2 linked regions of the Macaca mulatta genome follow. The protein of the gene in region 2 interacts with the protein of the main gene of each other region in a biochemical or structural test. Links are inferred from orthologs where the notes say so. Each region holds a gene or a part of one and is shown on either strand. Other genes may lie near its edges.

Region 1 (4,410 bases), on a different chromosome or scaffold from region 2:
GAATGAAGGGGTGAGAGGGAGGGATCCTGGGGTCAGGTGCCACCTTCACCTTGCTAGGTAACTTTCACCAAGTCACATCTTCATCTGCAAATGGAAGACAGCCTCTTTAAAGCTCAAAGTAACTCTAAAGAGGGGGGGTCTGGGCTGGGCGCAGTGGCTCATGCTTGTAATGCCAGCACTTTGGGAGGCCAAGGTGGGCGGATCATGAGGTCAGGAGTTCGAGACCAGCCTGGCCAACGTGGTGAAACCCTGTCTCTACTAAAAAAAAAAAAAAAAAAAAAAATACAAAAATTAGCTGGGCATGGTGGTGGGCACTTGTAATCCCAGGTACTCAGGAGGCTGAAACAGGAGAATTGCTGGAACCTGAGAGGCGGAGGTTGTAGCGAGCCGAGATTATGCCACTGCACTCCAGACTGGGTGACAGAGCGAGACTCCATCTCAAAAAAAAAAGAGGGGGGGTTTGTGGGGAAGGTGCTGAGGCCGGGAAACTGGGATCTGAGTGAAGGCAAGCCACAGTCTGCCCACAGTTAACATAATTTCTTTCTTTCTTTCTTTTAAGATAGGGTCTCGCTCTGTTGCCCAGGCTGGAGTGCAGTGGCGCCATCACAGCTCACTGCACCTTGACCTCCTGGGCTCAATCAATCCTCCCATCTCGGCCTCCCAAGTGGCTGGGTCTATACGGGTAAGCCAGTATGCCCGGCTAATTTTATTTTATTTTTTATAGAGATGGGGTTTTGCTATGTTGCCCAGGCTGAATTAACGCCACTTCTTGATCGGCTGGGGCACAAGAGTTACCCTAAAGTTTGGCCTTGGAGTTGGGGAGGGGGAAGAATTCAGAACCATCTGTCTTCAGAGGCTGGATGCTGTCACTGCAGGAGCCATTCATTCATTTGCTTCTTCGAGATGGCCTCTGGTTACGGTGATAACCCCTTATTGTCTAATTCTAATCCTCAACCACCAGGGCACTAGCCCAGGAGACAGCGTCACTCCTGCTCTAAAGACAGCAGGGCTCAGAGAGGGGCAGTGTATGTTCAAGGGCAAACAGCAATTGGAAACCAGACGTAACGATTTCCAGTCAGTTCTCTCTACTTTACATCAGGCATATAACTGTTTTATAAAGCACAGCTATCCTGGGTGCAGTGGCTTATGCTTGTAATCCCAGCACTTCGGGAGGCCAAGGTAGGTGGATCACAAGGTCATGAGTTTGAGACCAGCCTGACCAACATAGTGAAACTCATATTTACTAAAAATACAAAAATTAGCTGGACGTGGTGGCGGGTGCCTATAGTCCCAGCTACTAGAGAGGCTGAGGCAGGAGAATTGCTTGAACCCGAGAGGCGGAGGTTGCAGTGACCCGAGATAGCACCACTGGATTCCAGCCTGGGCAAAACAGCTAGACTCCATCTCAAAAAATAAAATAAAATAAAATAGAATAAAATAAAATAAAATAAAAAAAGCACAGCTCCTGGAGGGGGGCAAGAATGGAATCAGCACATTATCGTGGGGTTCAGGGAGAAAACATGATTCTGTTGAAGTGACACAGTAAAGCAAAGGCCATTCCCTACGTTTTCGTGACTTGGAATAAACTCCTTAGTGACCGTTCCCCCATTTTCCCCATCCCTAGCAGGGCTACAGAGCTCCCAGGCCACTCAGACTGGTGTTACTCCCCGGTCTAACCTTTTCATTGTGGGCCAGGACTGCTTTTGTGGCACTGAGAGAGGTCAGTTCCACTTCTGCAGACGGCACAACTGAGATGCACCAAGCCAATTCTGTTCAACCACAATGTGGGCTGGCCCTACGGGAAAAGCTGTTCTAAAGTGACAACCGGAGTCTTGGGCCCTTTGATAGGGAAGTCAAGGCTGTCTGTGGCAGTGGCTGATTTAGTTGCTCGCTGAGGCTTTTATCTTGCATCTTCTTGCAGATGACAGGTTCCAGGGCAGGCAGTGCTGTCACTTGTCATTACTGTCATCCTGGAGCAGGATGAAATGTGGGCAGGGAAAAGGTCCTGACTCCTCTTATCATTCCTTCTAGAGGAAAATACACTTATGAGGGGAAGAATGGTCAGGGAGAGGGGTTCAACTTCTGAATACTCCAGAGAAAAGAGCAGGAATGGTGTGGGTTACAGTTCCGGCTCCAAGGTGCATTAGCTGAGCTTGTCATCAGCTGGGAGTGTGAGGTGGCATCTCTCTAGGATAGCTAAGCCTCGAGTTTTGGGTTGAGACACAGCCAGGTTCAAATTCCATCAAATCCCATTCTCACCACCTGCAGACTGTGTGGCCTTGGGCAAGTTCCAGGCCCACCCTGAGCCTCAAATTCCTCATCTGTGAGACGGGCTCAAAACAGCACTTAACACCGAGAACTGGAGAGTGTGAAAATGCACGGGAAGCACTTGGCACATAGTAAATGCTCATTAAGGTGAGATGTCACCGTCTTTTTCCCATGGCCAATTCCCCATGACTCAGTTTCCACTTCTGTAAGGCAGGAGCCTCAAAAGAACCGCTTTGAGGGCTGCTGCTAGGACAGATCGAGAGGACGGGCGCGAAGACCCCAGCCCAGGACATAACACTCCCTAACGAGCGGGCTGAGGGTCGGAGCCTCAGTCTCCCCATCTGCAAAATGGGCACCTGGTCTCCCCCACCACGGCCCAGGAACCTCCGAACGGCGGTACAGGCGACTGCTCTTCTCCCCTTAGGCCCCCTCGACCCTCTCAGCGCCCTCGGCCAGTCCAGCCCGGTAGATCCCTCAGCCCCAGCCCCTCAGGGGCGCGCCCAGCCCGGGCCTCTGGCGCCCCCAGCCACTCCCCGGTCCCGCTACCTATGGTGGAGATAAAAGTGGAGTTGAAGGCGTCCTCGGAGAAGCGGAACAGGACACAGGTCTTCCCCACCCCCGAGTCCCCGATCAGCAGCAGCTTGAACAGGTAATCGTAGGTCTTCGCCATATTACACTCTCTCCCCGACGGGAAGTGCGGCCAGCGCCTCTCCACTGGCCACCAGCACCGTCCATCAGCGCCGAGCCCGCCCCTTATTGGCTCCAGGCCCGCTGCGCGTCACCGCGGCCGACGCCCGCCCCTGCGTCCCGCCAGTCGCGGGGAGACCTGGGGAGGGGGCGAATGGAGCGCGGAGCCGGAAGCAGCCCGAGCGCACCTCCCATTGGCCGGCACTAGGGAGAGGACGGGCTCTGATTGACCAGCAGTGAAGAGTCGTGGGGCTTCAAATGGGGACGAGGCGGGGGCGTGGCATTATGTGGCCCCCGCCTTCCACCCCCTACTCGGGCGCCCCGGCCCCGCCCCACTACAGGAGAGGGAAGGCAGGGAGCGTCGCCAACGGCTCGCGCGCCGGCAGCCTGGGGGGCGGGGCTTGGGGTGCGTGCGCACGAGCGCCCGGAGTTCCGTTAGGCGACGGCAGAGGGCGCAATCCTGTACTTGGGGCGGGTATCTCTGGGTCCCGCCGTCACAACTCGCGCAGGCGCAATAGGCCCCGAGGCGAGCGCGGGAAACCATGGTAGCGCTCTCAACCTGATCTGCGGCCTCCGAGTCGGGGCAGCGGGGGCCGACGGAGGAAGGAGAGAGGAGACACTGTATACTCGAAAAGTGACCCGGGCCGGGCGCGGTGGCTGAAATCCCAGAACTTTGGGAGGCCTAGGCGCGTGGATCACGAGGTCAGGAGTTCAAGACCAGCCTGGCCAAGATGGTGAAACCCCATTTCTACTAAAAATACAAAAATTAGCCGGGCGTGGTGGCGGGCGCCTGTAATCCCAGCTACTTGGGAGGCTGAGGCAGAGAATTGCTTGAATCTGGGAGGCGGAGGTTGCAGTGAGCCGAGATCGCGCCTTTGCACTCAAGCCTGGGCGACAGAGCAAGACTCCATCTCAAAAATAAATAAATAAATAAAAGTGACCCAAGACGAGTTCCGAGGTCTGCGGCCTAGCGACCTGCTTACAGATACCCAAGGCCTCCGCCACCTGAGCGGCTTCACCGCCACAAGCTATGCCCCGAAGCGCGCGCCGGCCTCCTCAGGGTCCGCCCTCGGCCGCTTTAGGAGTTGTCCGGGCCAGCCCGGGGGGTTTAGAACAGTGAGGATGCTTTAGAACAGTGAGGATGCTTGTTCCTATCTAGGGGCCAGGACTCTCAACACTGAAAAAACAGGCCGGGGCTGTGGCTGCCACCTGTGATCCCAGTGCTTTGGGAGGCCAGGAGTTTGAGGCTGCAGTAAGCGGTGATCGTCCCACTGCACTCCAGCATGGACGACAGAGCGAGAAGCCTCTCAAAAAAAGAAAAAGGCCGGGCGCGGTGGCTCACGCCTGTAATCTCAGCACTTTGGGAGGCCGAGGCGGTCGGATCACGAGGTCAGGAGATCGAGACCATCCTGGCTAACGCGGTGAAATCCCATCTCTACTAAAAATACAAAAAAG
Region 2 (4,309 bases):
TTGAGGTGTCTGCAAGACATTCAAGTGGAGATGTCAAGAAAACAGAACTCAATAAAGCGGTCTGGGTAGAGTTATAGAATTAGAGTTGTGACCATATATACGATAATTAAAGCCAAGTGAGTGAAAAAGATTATTTGGGGGAGGGAGTATATGTATCCTAGCCCTGAGAATGTCTGACTTTCAGAGGTCAGATAGCAGAAGAGTGGCCTACAAAGGTCACTGAGGAGAGGGCAAAGGAGTAGGAGGAAAAGCAAGAGTATAATGTCATAGATGCCATAGAACATTTCAAGGAGGAGGAAATGGTTAACAGTGTTAAATGTAGGGGAGAAGTCAAGCAAAATAAGGACCAAAAATACCTTACTTATTTGTGGATTTATCGACACTGAGGGTCATTGGTTTTTTATCTCATTGAGAAGTTTCAGTGGGGGAAGGAAGCCAGACTGCTGAGAGCTGAGAAATGAATGAGACGTAAGGGAATAAAAATTGCAATTTCACCTGTAAAGTATGTTTTCAATACATTTGCCCATAAAGAGGACCTGAAGAGGGACCTCCTGTGTAGGGAGGATATTGTTTTAAGATGGTAGATACTTGAGCATGTTTAATTGCTGATGTGAAATGAGGGGGAGAGGGATGGGAAAGAGAGGGAGGGGAATCTGCAATTACTGGGGAGGTATAAACATTTTAAAGTCTATTGATATATACTGCTCACATGCTTTCTAAAAGGGTTTTTAACCAACATATGCTCCTATCAGCAATTATGAGAGCTTGTTTGGTGGCTACTTTGTCATCATTAAGTGTTATTTAAAAAATAAAAAACAAAACTCTTTGCCAAATAATCTCATTATTGTTCTAATTTGCTTTTCTTTGATTACTAGTGAGTTGAATATTTTAACCAGTTGTGTTCTTGAGTGTGTATGTGTGAATTTAGTCTACTCCTTTGCCCAAAACGTTTCTATTTTAGACAGACAATTTGCCATAAAAGGCCATAAGTTAAAGGATCAGAATGGTATCATATTTTACTTACCCAAATTAGATAGTTCATATTCTTTTATCTCCTTAGAAGTGTGAGACAATTTGACAACTTTTGACTCAGCAGAATGAAAGGGGCAGGTGATTTCACCATCTAAGGGAACGACCAACAGATGGAAGTAAGGGGGTGGGGAGGCACGTCTAGTGTTAGACCCCTATCCTCGGTCCCTAGGCTCCCACTCCTAACCTGGAAGGACATTCATTCCTCTTGTGTCTCAAGGCTTTGGGTCCCAGAGCTCCCTTTCGGGCTGAGCGGCCCCCTACTAAGGAGCCCGGGGCGCTGTGCGGCCCCTTTAAGAGTCCAGCTCCTCCCAGCTCCAGGGAAAGTTGCAGCTTTTTCCGCCTCCCGGGAGGGTGAGAAGGGCCGGCCGCCGGAGCTGGGTGGCGATCTTCCCGGAGCCAGAGACCCTCCCTCGAAACCGGCACTGGGACGTCTAGCTCTCTGGAGGCACCTGTTGCAGGTGACAGGTAGGTCAGCAGCCAGCGGCCGCCCCCTCGCCCTCGGTTGGGGGCTCCTTCTGGACCCCCAGCTCCTTTTCGCTGCTGAAGCGCCCCCACCCCCATATCGGGGTCGTGCGTCTTCCCTACCTGCTCTCTGCTCCCCTAGTTTTTCCTTCTCCCTAGCTGACCTCGTCTTCCCTCTCCCCGTCCGCCTCTCCCGACCGCACCCCCCAGGCTTGGACTCCCGTCTGCTTGGGCGGTCCCTCCCGGCCACTTTTCTTTCTCTAGGGCTTCTTCTGGCCCCTTCCCTGACCCACCTAGCACTAATGCGGGCTGTGCCCCTCTGGGAGCCGCCTCCCCTCTCCTCTCCGGCTCCCCTCGCGCGGAGTGCCCGGGCTTTTCCCGCCAGCCCGAGCTGGTGCCCCTCCCGAGAGCTGGCCCTGGGGGCGGGGGCGGGGCCGAGCTCCTAGCGGGAACTGCGCCCTCCAAGGCGTGCAGTCACCTTTTCGTGGGTTTCTCTCGCAGCGCTTGGCCGTCGAGCGGGGTCGCTAACCCGCACTCTCTTCGGACCTCCGACATCTCGGCGTCGGCTTCTCTGGCGTTGGCCAGTCAGCCACAGGTAAAGGCTGGAGGCTGGTCGGCCGGAGTCCTGCCTCAGTGGGCTCCCTCTGCGCTTGGGGCTGGGGACCTGGCTACGTGCTGTGGAGCTGTTTATCTTGCCGCTCTTCAAGCAGGCTGTGAGAGACCTGGTACTGGAGGAGGGTCCCCGAGATCTCAGAAGGGGCACAGAATGCTTCTGTCTCCTGTGATGGTTTGTAATGGGGCAGAAAAAGGTGTTCCTCCAACCCTTAACATTGAGATGGGATTTGGGGTGGTGAAATCATTTGGTTAGAATTCTGGTGGCTTGAAAAGTGGTGAGTTTCTAATTAACCAAGCTTTTCTTCCCCCAGTACCCTTCTTCTTCAGGACTAGAGGACGTAAAATTCCAGAGTACTGCTCTTGGCAGGGTTGACCCTAGACCTTGTATATTTGTGGCAAAAAATGAGTCTTCTGTACATCCTGGACCTCCTATATTTAACTGGCTTCTTTTCTGCTCTTTAAGCTCCCCACCCCCACCTCTCATAAATCTATTAATATTGCGGTATTAATGACTTAAGACTTTTGTCGCTGTGGGAACAATGCTCAATGCAGAGATGTGGCCTTGATGAAGTTTTCCGCATTTTTGGTGGTTTGGTTTTTAGCACCCTAGTAGAAAAGCACACCAACTTGGCTTGTGAGGCTCTGTCTGGGCAGGGGATGAACATTTCTGCTAACACGATTTCAGGTGTCTCACTCTTGGTCAGAGCAGTGAAATGGAGCTCGGAGGCCTGTTCTGGGGTAACTGATCTGTGAGTATATGTAGCATTCCGGCTCTCTGAGCTTGTTAGGCTCTGGTTGTTAGGCTCCATTGAGCCAGACACTGTGATAAGTTCTTTACATAAAAATGCAATCCTCCCAGTAACTCTATACAATAGGTGCTACAGTTATAACCATATTATGATGAAAAAGAGACTTAGAGGGTAAGTGCCTTGCCCTCACAATCTCGGAGGCAGAGCTTGTGTTCCTATCCTGTCACACCACCTCTATTGTCTTGGATGTTGGGAGCACTGAATAGCTCATGAATGAGGACTAAGTGATTAAAAAATTTCCTTCCAAGTATATGTTTTGCTCCTTGATTCCCCCTTAGATTCACTGCCGAGACTATGGACTACTTACCTTACTGATGTCTTACCCACTTCATTTCTGACATGGGCCAGTTGCCACATTACCACTATAAGTACACATCCCTGAGTGTACCTAGATGAGTGAAATCTCCCGGGTTCTCAGCTCTGTGGTAATTGTCTTGAAGTTAGAGGAGGGTAACCCTGGATTCCAGGGATGTGCGCCTGACTCAATTTCTTCCTCTCCTGCTGGCTAGGGGAGAAATAAGTGATAGGGATTTCCTGACAGCCATACCAGAGAGCTTGAGGGTGATCGTGTGCTAGTTTTGTCATGGGATGGATGGAGTACCACAGGCAGGGATAGGAAGAAAATGTCCTCCCTATTCCCAGCTCTGGGACCTTGCTCAAACTGTTCCTTTTTTTCTTCCTAAAAAGCTAACTTTCCTCCCCCATGCCCATTCCCCTGACATTAATTCCTATCCATCCCTCAAGATTGAGTTCTAAAGTCACCTTCTTTGGAACGGCCTTACTGAACACATACTTCTTCCCCCAAGCAGAATTGCCAGTTATCCTGTGTCCTAAAGCACTTTGTTTACACCTCAGTACAGCCCTTAACACTGCTTAGTTGTTTTTCCACCTGGAAGGCTGTAAGTTCTCTAAGGGCAAGGTCTGGATCTTGGAGCTCCCTTTGTCTTAAATATAAGATATTGGCAAATATTTGTGCCAGTAACCGGATGTACCATGCCATTCCTTCAAGGTGCTGAGGTGTAGTGATGGTGGGGTTGAGAGTACAGAAGACACCTTCCTGAGGCGCTTGAAATACCACGGCTACAAGTTTGCCCTGATCACCCTATTTAAACGTGTAATCCCTTCTCTGAACGTTCCATATGCCCTTTCCCTACCTTATTACATTTTTCTCGCTTATTGTCTGCCCTGCCACTCCCTCACCCACCATAACATAAACACCCTGTGGGCAGGGATTGCTGTCTGTTGTATTCACCGGTAGACTTTTGGACCCAGAACAGTCCTTGGTACATCATAGATGCATACTAATATTTGTTAATGAATGAATGGCATTACCACTCTAGGAATTTGGCAGTCTTGGAGTTAGGCACTCCTGGACCTGAAACTAAGCCTAC

What was found.
Region 1: the proteins of SYTL4 (region 2) and RAB8A form a complex in vitro, tested with the Homo sapiens proteins (2 studies listed by BioGRID). The link is inferred for Macaca mulatta from reciprocal best matches to the Homo sapiens genes SYTL4 and RAB8A.

The regions. Positions count from the first base shown.
Region 1 is NC_133424.1:16,585,384-16,589,793, reverse strand, and holds the start of RAB8A (ras-related protein Rab-8A), read right to left. Parts: upstream 2,952-4,410; 5' UTR 2,939-2,951; coding exon 2,815-2,938; intron 2,465-2,814; exon of another isoform or gene 1,873-2,464; intron 1-1,872. UniProt on the Homo sapiens protein: The small GTPases Rab are key regulators of intracellular membrane trafficking, from the formation of transport vesicles to their fusion with membranes.
Region 2 is NC_133426.1:107,583,161-107,587,469, reverse strand, and holds the start of SYTL4 (synaptotagmin-like protein 4), read left to right. Parts: upstream 1-1,380; 5' UTR 1,381-1,497; intron 1,498-1,995; exon of another isoform or gene 1,996-2,089; intron 2,090-4,309. UniProt on the Homo sapiens protein: Modulates exocytosis of dense-core granules and secretion of hormones in the pancreas and the pituitary. Interacts with vesicles containing negatively charged phospholipids in a Ca(2+)-independent manner.